Oryzias latipes: one gene and its partner. The protein of the gene in region 1 interacts with the protein of each later gene in a pairwise test. Links are inferred from orthologs where the notes say so. Each region holds a gene or a part of one and is shown on either strand. Other genes may lie near its edges.

What was found.
Region 2: the proteins of atf2 (region 1) and atf3 interact in binary tests that used the Homo sapiens proteins (3 or more experiments, as listed by UniProt). The link is inferred for Oryzias latipes from reciprocal best matches to the Homo sapiens genes ATF2 and ATF3.

The regions. Positions count from the first base shown.
Region 1 is NC_019879.2:22,381,747-22,386,276, reverse strand, and holds the start of atf2 (cyclic AMP-dependent transcription factor ATF-2), read left to right. Parts: upstream 1-1,713; 5' UTR 1,714-1,789; intron 1,790-2,414; 5' UTR 2,415-2,442; coding exon 2,443-2,490; intron 2,491-3,337; coding exon 3,338-3,434; intron 3,435-3,534; coding exon 3,535-3,653; intron 3,654-3,756; coding exon 3,757-3,882; intron 3,883-4,206; coding exon 4,207-4,385; intron 4,386-4,530. Other genes in the region: atp5mc3 (ATP synthase F(0) complex subunit C3, mitochondrial), read left to right, coding at 211-285, 424-614, 705-819. UniProt on the Homo sapiens protein: Transcriptional activator which regulates the transcription of various genes, including those involved in anti-apoptosis, cell growth, and DNA damage response.
Region 2 is NC_019882.2:23,409,006-23,413,425, forward strand, and holds the start of atf3 (cyclic AMP-dependent transcription factor ATF-3), read right to left. Parts: upstream 2,952-4,420; 5' UTR 2,921-2,951; coding exon 2,827-2,920; intron 2,115-2,826; exon of another isoform or gene 2,114-2,114; coding exon of another isoform or gene 2,038-2,113; coding exon 1,862-2,037; intron 1,788-1,861; coding exon 1,680-1,787; intron 578-1,679; coding exon 299-577; 3' UTR 1-298.

The DNA of each region.
Region 1 (4,530 bases):
GTCCATTAAAGTGTGACAGAAACAAAACTAATTGTAAGCTTGACACCAGCAATTGTGGTGACGTCCATGCTTGCATAACACAAAACTGTGTATATTCAACTGTATAAACATTTACCAAGTGTCATTGAAAGGCTTTTTGCATATATGGACCTAAAACACAAAACTTCCAACCTAACTAAACTGATCCTTTTCTTTTTTGTTGATCCGCAGGTCCGTGCTGGTTCCCGGGCTCTTTACAGACCCATGTCTGCCTCTGTGCTCTCCAGGCCTGATGGCAAAACAGAGGTAAGGATAAACAAAGTTTATAAACACTTTTGTATTATTGACTACTTGTGGTGTTTTTTTAACAGTAACTGTATTTCCCATGCCTGTCTGTGGTGTTTCTTTGAAGTGAATGTTTTCATTTTTTGTCTTTCGCTGCAGAGCTCTGTTGCTGTGATGCCACAAAGCCCCCTCACACAGGTCACACTGAGAGGCTTCCAGACCAGTGCCATCAGCAGGGACATTGACACCGCCGCCAAGTTCATTGGTGCTGGAGCCGCTACAGTCGGAGTCGCTGGATCTGGTGCTGGAATTGGAACAGTGTTCGGTAGTCTCATTATTGGCTATGCCAGGTTTGTTGCCATTTGGTCACTGTGTACATGTTTTTTTGGGGTACAATTCAAATGTTTTCTTTACATTTATTGACTTCTTTTTGTTTGCAGGAACCCATCTTTGAAGCAGCAGCTGTTCTCATATGCCATCCTGGGTTTCGCCCTGTCTGAAGCTATGGGACTATTCTGTTTGATGGTTGCTTTTCTGATCCTGTTTGCAATGTAAAGCACTGCCCTCCCAACACTTTCATTACAGATGTGACTACATATTTTATTGTGGCTTCTAAAATTGTTCAGTGTTGGTGTCATGGAAATGTAAATTTTTCAAGTCTTTCCGACACAGTCAAAATTAAACAAAACATGTACAAACATAACAATGTGCGTGAATTTAATACATGCATTTGAGTATTTATCAGTGGCAGCAACGTCTATGTCTGGAATATCATGGTAACTGAAAGCAGTTTGCTCTCACAAATGTCAGAACATCTTCTCCCCTTGTGAATCAACTTGCTTTCTGAGAGTTATATGGGGTCCACCGTCATAAGCACTTAACTCAGTTGCAGTTAAGTAGAACTGTAAGAGGCAACAAGTGATTACTTGCTTTTGTAAATCACGTTGAATAAATCTAGATTGAATTATAATTTGGGTTTTTGAATTTATTTCCCGACCCCAACAGGGTTTCGAGGTTTGTCAAATGAATGAGTTGCCACTAAAACGGTCCATCAGAACAAAATTCTCAGTTAAAAAGTAATTGTCATTTGGAAGTCAGTAAATTAGTAATATTTGGCAACAAAGTTGACCAAATGTTTTTTTTTTTTTGTAATATAAATTACCCATGTGGTTTGTTTACTGCTTCAATCAAAAATAGTTCCTTGTGATTTAATTTAATATAGAGTACACGATAATGTTTCTCTAAATTGAATTGTTTTAAAGAAATTTGGCCTTTGAGTAAAAAAGGAATGTTAACTTGAGGTGGTTCCGTAGACTGTAAATAAAGTTGTAATGCAGTAGAAATGATGGCAATTATTTATAAAATATTGAATTTATGGGTAAATGGGTAAATTTATGGGTAAATGGGTTTATTAGTGTCCATTAGTATGTTTACGGCGTTTGGGTTAGTGTGACGTTTACGGAAGAAGAAATTGTTTTCTCGCGATACTTTGGGGTTTGGGAAAACAACGTTTGTGGCTAAAGGGGTAAGTAACAACTCAAATTGAAAGCGAGTTTTATTACAAATGCAAAAAAGGGCACCCTTTATCTGAAATCGGTGTTATTTTCTTCCAAGTGAAATTAATCCCCCTCAAATTAAATACCAAAAGGTTATCTGTTTAGTGATTTGTTGGTTCTAACATGGCGACGGCTGTGCGTTATCTCAGCTCAGGCTGGAGCGGAGGATCGGATCATAATGTAGCTTTTGTTGTGTGATGACTTTAGTCGGAATTAAACGTGAAACTTTTTTTTCCAACAAAAAACATGCATAATTTCTTTGTTCGTGTTGAAAAATACACAATCCGAACGACCACACACCGAACGACCCTGCACTGCATCACCGAGCTAATAAATAAGCACAGACAGAGCAACCCCACCTCCTCACTGGCTTTGTCCAAAATCTTATTTGTCCTTTCACTAGATTTGCCCTTAACAGTCCCACTCGAGTCTCGAGTCATTTCTACTATTATCTAAAAATTAACCCTCTAACCCTCCTTTTGATCAGCCACGATTACGTGGTTGTCTTTTCTGTGGCTGTTGAATTTATTTCTGTTTTAAATGGAAATTAAGTTAATTGAGATGAAATATGTTGTTTTTATTCATTTATTGTAGGACAAAAATATAGCAAGAATTTCTTAATATGAGTGATGACAAACCCTTCCAGTGTACTGCTCCAGGATGTGGACAGGTAAGCTGACATAGTTCTTCATAGTTTTTATTTCTTTTTAGTTAGTGATTCAGTTATTTTTATTTTTTGAAAAATAGAAGGAAAAAAACCAATTCCAATGTGTTGTAAATTTATATGGTGGAGTTGTTGAGCTTACATCTTTACATTCTAGATTATTTAAAAACGTTGAAGGTATTATAATATTACATGTTTTGAGATACGGTAGTTGTATTTCTCCAGAGACTAACTTTAATATATATATATATATATATATATATATATATATATATGCATCAAATATGGTAACCAAATATTTGGGTACTCAATGTGTACATTTTACATACATTTGCTATCTTTGCTGATAATATCGAATAATTCAACTAAAAAACGTAGTTTGTGCATTCTTATCAGACATTTTAAAAGCTGAAGTTACTGTTTGAAGGATTTGTGATTATTTGTGGTACAGATAAATCCACTTAAAAACAGAATCACTGGAGTTAATAAAAGCCTGAGTCTGCATCCAATTTGAGGATTCACAAAAGGGTCAAATAATAAAAAGCATCTCTTTTTTGAAGTCACATCAACTGTTTAATTTCTAGTGCCAAAGTAAAGTTGGCTAAAGGGTAAAAATATGTAATTATTGTGGTAAATGTACGCGCACAGTCACAATAAACATAAAAACACACATTAAGCCTATGTTTATGTTTATTTAGGGTTTGATTTCTTTGGATTTTAGCAATGCACCGTTTACTTTTTGAAATTGTTAGTATTTTAACATATTTAACATTGTGAGTCATTGTTGTCTCTCAAAGGATATGCAGAATAAAGTTGTTTTTTTATTCATTTATTTCCTTTTTACCTTGCTCAGAGATTTACAAATGAAGACCACTTGGCTGTCCACAGACACAAACACGAGATGACACTAAAGTTTGGCCCAGCGAGGACCGACAATATCATAATTGCTGGTGAGTCCTTCTTAAGTTTTATGTCTATAGATGTTTGTGTGTTTTTGCCTCCTTAAGTGTGATTTTTTTCTTCTTTTATCTTTTCTTTTCTCTATTACAGATCAAACGCCGACACCCACTCGCTTTTTGAAAAACTGCGAGGAAGTCGGGCTTTTCAACGAACTTGCCAGTCCTTTTGACCATGACTTCAAAAAAGCAGCTGAAGATGACTTGAAGAAGGTTGAGTTTGTTCTGTAACTTCTGTCAAATCTTCTCTTAGGATGATCTCTGAAGTCCAGAGTTTATATCTGCTTTTTTTCTTTTTCTTTTAACCTTCCCAAAGCTACCTCTGGATTTGTCACCTCTTGCTACACCAGTCATACGCAACAAAACTGAGGAACCCGCAGCTGTAGATGCACATCGGAACAGCCCCCTTCCTCATCCTGAGTCCACCACAAACGATGACAAGGTAGATTTTTTTCTGTTTAGTTAGCTCTCTAATGGGTTTTAGGAGTGCTATTAAACATGAATAATTAAGAATCCTCCTGTTTCTGTAATCATTCATTTACTATAGAAATTGTACTTCTTCTTTCACCTGCTTGAATTCTTCGATTTATTTGTTTTTTATTTTCAAACCCCACTCTCTTTTTTTTTTTTATTCAAACACTGCTCTTAATTTTGATTTGGAAATCCTAAAACCAACCAAAAAAATATTTGCAAAAAGTTCTTGTAACTAACTAAGCTGGTGTTCACTAAACATTTCTGCAGCTAAGGTCTTGTATGATGTTTTCAGGACTTAACTTTGCAGCCTGCCTCACTGCCAACATCCACTATAGTCCATCCTGCATCCCTCCAAGTTCCCAATGTACTTCTAGCAACCACGGACGCTAATGTTGTAATACAGCCAGCTCTCCCATCGCCAACATCTAGCTCTGTTATTACCCAGGTTCCATCCACTAATAGACCCATAGTGTAAGTAACGGAATGCGTCCATTTTTAAAACAAATCTTAGTTTTTAGTTTTTTTTAATCATTTTTGTGTAGTTTTGTGCATTTTGTGAGGCATGTGCTTGTATTTTATGTTTATTTTTTTAATCAATCTGCACTCTGGTGTAAGT
Region 2 (4,420 bases), on another chromosome or scaffold:
TTCTCACTTTGGTGCTGCTGCTGTGCAGGCCGGGCTGAGCCAACAGAAAAAGTGCTTTGTTGAAATCTGACTTCAGTGCAACACACCAACATAACCATCAGGAAAGCTTTGATATGTGTAATGTCAAAAAAAATGCATGACAGATGTCCCCCTCCCTCACAACCCTCAGTGCATAGTCAGGTTTTTGCAGCTTTGTGTGAGCCAAGTGTGGCCCGCAGTCCTTTCTGGGTCAGGCCTGTTCAGGTCAGGCTAACACTCAGCTAGTCTCTGATGTTGGTAGGGGGCAGCCTCTGCTCAGTCATAGATCAGCGGGACAGCAAATGTGGTCAAGGCTTAGCGGGCCCCCCCCCAGCAAGCCCTCTGTGGTGGAGGTGAGGCTGTGAAGCTGGAAGTTGCTCTCCTTGATGTGCTGGAGGAAGAGGTTCCTCTCGTCCTCTGGGGTTTGTCCGTCCTGGGCCCGGACGATGCAGGTGGGTCGGTGCAGGTTCAGCATGTAGACCAGCTGCTGCTTCTGCTGCTTGAGCTCCTCGATCTGAGCCTTCAGGTCAGCGTTGATGCTTTCCAGCTTCTCTGACTCCTAACAGGAGCAGACGCAGAACAAACGGGGCTCAGTCTTTTGGAACATCAGGTGGAGGGATCAGAAAGCTGCTTTGGTTAAAAAAGTTCCAGGTCTGAAACCAAAAGAAGCTGCTGAAGAGAAACCAAGATCCGGGACACGCTTTTCATTTGAGGATAAATGTTTTTTGACAACTTTAATTCTTACCAAACTTTTATCTTCTTTTCCTCATGAAATTGTATTTCCATTTGTAAAATGCCTCAAATTCAGATCTTTTTTCTAGAAAGACTAATTCCACCTCAGAGAATCTGTTAAGTCTCTATACCATTGTCCAGGTGAATACTTAATTCTGATTGGTTGCAGTGTGTATATTTCAAAGTGATATCCCACACCTAAAAAAGAAGTTCCAGTCACACCCCCCAAATGTTCCTTATCACTGCAGTGGCCTAAACACAAGTCGGTATTCCGATTATCACCATTAAAACATAAACAAACATAGTTTGTCATGCCTTATTCCAGATTATTACAACAGTAAGACAGTAGAAAACATGAGTGATTTTATAGTTTCCTTTCACCTGTTTGGTTAATTTGATCTTTTTAGAGACTGCAGCAAAAGAGAACGAGAGAGAAGTGGATCTAGAAGGAAGAAATACGACAAGAGGAGGAACTGAACTATTTAGACTTTACAGTTAGTTTCTTTGAAACAAACTTTAACTTCCTCATCTGGACAAAAAGAAGCAGTAAGACGTGAACTTTCACACTGAACTGATGCTTTATTCAACCCATCAGCATATGAATCACTTTCTTTTGCCGCTGCAGTCTCTATGGCCATTACCATGACAACGTACTGCATATAACTTAGTCTGATTTTTGTGAAAACCTAAAAAAAAAAACAAGAATAAAGTACTAAATATTTCTTTGGGAAGTGACCATAGTATAAGCAGAATAATCTGCATTATCAGAAATGATGAAGGTTCACAGAGGCAACCTTCAGGCTTCCGTTTCAAGCACACAGAAGCTACATATCTGCTAAATGAGTAAACTGTGATGGTAGTAAGACACTTGGTCTCATGCATGTCCTCCAAAGAGCTCCTGGTTACAGCCTGGTGAAAACAGAGTTTACCTTCTGCAGACCTTCAGTCTTCTCCTTCTTCTTGCTGCGGCATTTTGCAGCAGCAATCTTATTCCTCTCTCGCCTCCTCTTCTTCCTGTCGTGCTCCTCTAGCGTCAGCTGAAACCCACACAGAGTTCTGAATAAAGAATCCACTCAGCAACAGACTGGCGTGGGGGGAGTACCTGCCTCACCTCTCTCTTGACCCCTGACTCGTGGGTGGGCGGGGCCTGGTCCGAGGCAGAGCTGGCGCTGTCAGAACTGGCGTCTGCACTGAGCCCGCAGGACAGTCGCTTGTTCTGGATGACCTGACGGAGCTCCTCCTTCACTATGGGGGTGAAGTTGGTGAAGTCTTCTAGAGTGAGTTCTCCTGGGGGGGACAGGCAGGGGACCAGGGCTGAGCAGCTGATGTCAGCCAATGACGGTCCCAGGTGCTGCAGCATCATTCTGGAGACACGGCAGACTTTCAGTCACAGTCAGGCTCAGCGTCCCCCCTCCCACCATTTGTCTTTCTGGTTTTGGACTTTCTTTAGCCCCTTCCTGAACACGCCCTCTGCTTTTTACAAGAAATACTTTGCTCTGGAACTTTTTTAGTTTTTTTTTAGCTAATGTTGCACTTATATGTGGCTTGGTGTTTTTTTATCTAGTATTTGTGTAGTATCAATGTTTTTCCACACAGGTTTCCAGTAGCATAAACTAACTGACTACATTCAGGCAGAAACGCCCACATGAACCCTAAAGATCTCTGACTGCTAACCAGAGACTTCCAGGACAGATTCTGCTGAGTAATAATGACATCATGAAGATAAAGAGTCAACACATTTGTTGTGTAACAGCAGGTGAAGGAGGTTCTGCTCCTTCAGAGGAACATCCGCGGCTACAACGGAAGAAGAACTTCTGATCATCACACCGGTTCGATTCCCTCCCTAAGGCGTTTTTGAGTGTTATTTACTGACTGAAGGTAAACTGGTAAGCAGAAAACGAAGGTTAAAGCGGAGGATTCAAATAGAAACACTTCCATGAACAGAAACTAAGTCTTTCAACGAGAAGCACCTACAAACAGTTTGCTTTCTGTTTAGAGCCACGGCCGGACCGGACCGGACCGGACCGGCGGAAAAGCGCCCCCCTTCCCCGCCTCCAGCACAAGACAGGAACGCACCTTTGAAAGTTCTGGTTCCGGCTCTGGTTCCGGCGTGGACTGCTCCGTTCGGTTCCGCAGTACTGAGTTGCGCTTCTCGTCTCTCCCGTTGCATCACCCACTTATAGGAACTCCAGGGGCGGGGCTTAGTGACGCAGTACCTAGGAATCCTACTAGACTGCGAGGGTAGGAGGGGTGGGGGTGGGGAGGGGGATGACATCATCTTATTTATAGACTCTGATCCAGTGATGATGCCACCCAAGGACCAAAACGGGGGTCCCCTTCTCCCCCCAAAGCACCTGAGATAGATAGATAGATAGATAGATAGATAGATAGATAGATAGATAGATAGATAGATAGATAGATAGATAGATAGATAGATAGATAGATAGATAGATAGATAGATAGATAGATAGATAGATAGATAGATAGATAGATAGATATAGATTCAGGTAAATACATAAAATTAAATGGCTTTTAACTTTTAAAACATTCTTTTTGATCACTTTCCTTTTTTTTCTCTTTAGAGATCTGTTTTCCTCCTGCACCCCCCCCCCCCGTTTGTAAATGGGTCACTACTGTTGTAAACTAAAATTTAAAAATGTAAACTTTTACAACTTTTTAAAACATAAATCTAAAACGTTGTTCCAGAATAAATCAACTTAAACTCTAAATAACTTTATTTTGCTCTACTCTCAAAATTAAACAAGATAGAAATAAAGTAAATATTAAAGAAAAAAATTCAAATTTCATTAAACATGTCATTTTATACAAAAATTAAGTTCAAATTGTAAATATCCCAAAAGATTTTATTCTCCATAAGATTATATCCTGCCCAAATTATACAAATTCAGCGTTTACAAATCATATCATTCTGTTTTCTTTACTCCTGTGTCATTTGATCAGAGCTGAACGTCTGGCATCGTTTTGTGTCACACAGTTGGTTTGTGTTTGCTGTGAGGTTCTGTGTTGTGGAGATTCTCAGGATGGACTGCAGGTGATCATCAGTGAGACGACAGCTGTCTGCTGTTTAGTTAGTCTTCATCACTGAGAAGAGCTTCTCTCACAGAAATGTGCATCCAAACATGCACAAAGGTGGAGCCATATGTAGACGGAGCTGGGGCATTTCTGCAGGAATGGAGAGAATAACCCTTGTGCTATCTTAGATTCCCCCCCCCCCCCCCCCTTCCATTGACGTGTTCTCCCTACCATGACAAAGGTGGATAAAGGTGGAAAGATTTCATGTAATCCATGGACACCAGTGAAGATAACATATCATTGAAGAAAAAAGGTTCACTGTCTAGTGCAGTGGTTCCCAAACTTTTTCTGCAGGGCCCCCCTTTCTGAAGATTAGAATATTTTCAAGCCCCCCCAGACTGACACAAACATACAAATCCTTTGTTTCTAAACTCCACTGGACTTTACTTAACATTGTAAGTCATACAAAATGGCAACTTCTTCCTGAACAAAACCAAAAAAACAAAAACAAATCACCTTTACAATTAATTAAAGTGACACTGTCACTAGTGACACTAGTGTGATTCCCTGGTAGTCGGAACACCCCCTCCGGTCTCCCTTCTTGAACCACCACCCCTGTCTGCCAGTCCAGTGGTAC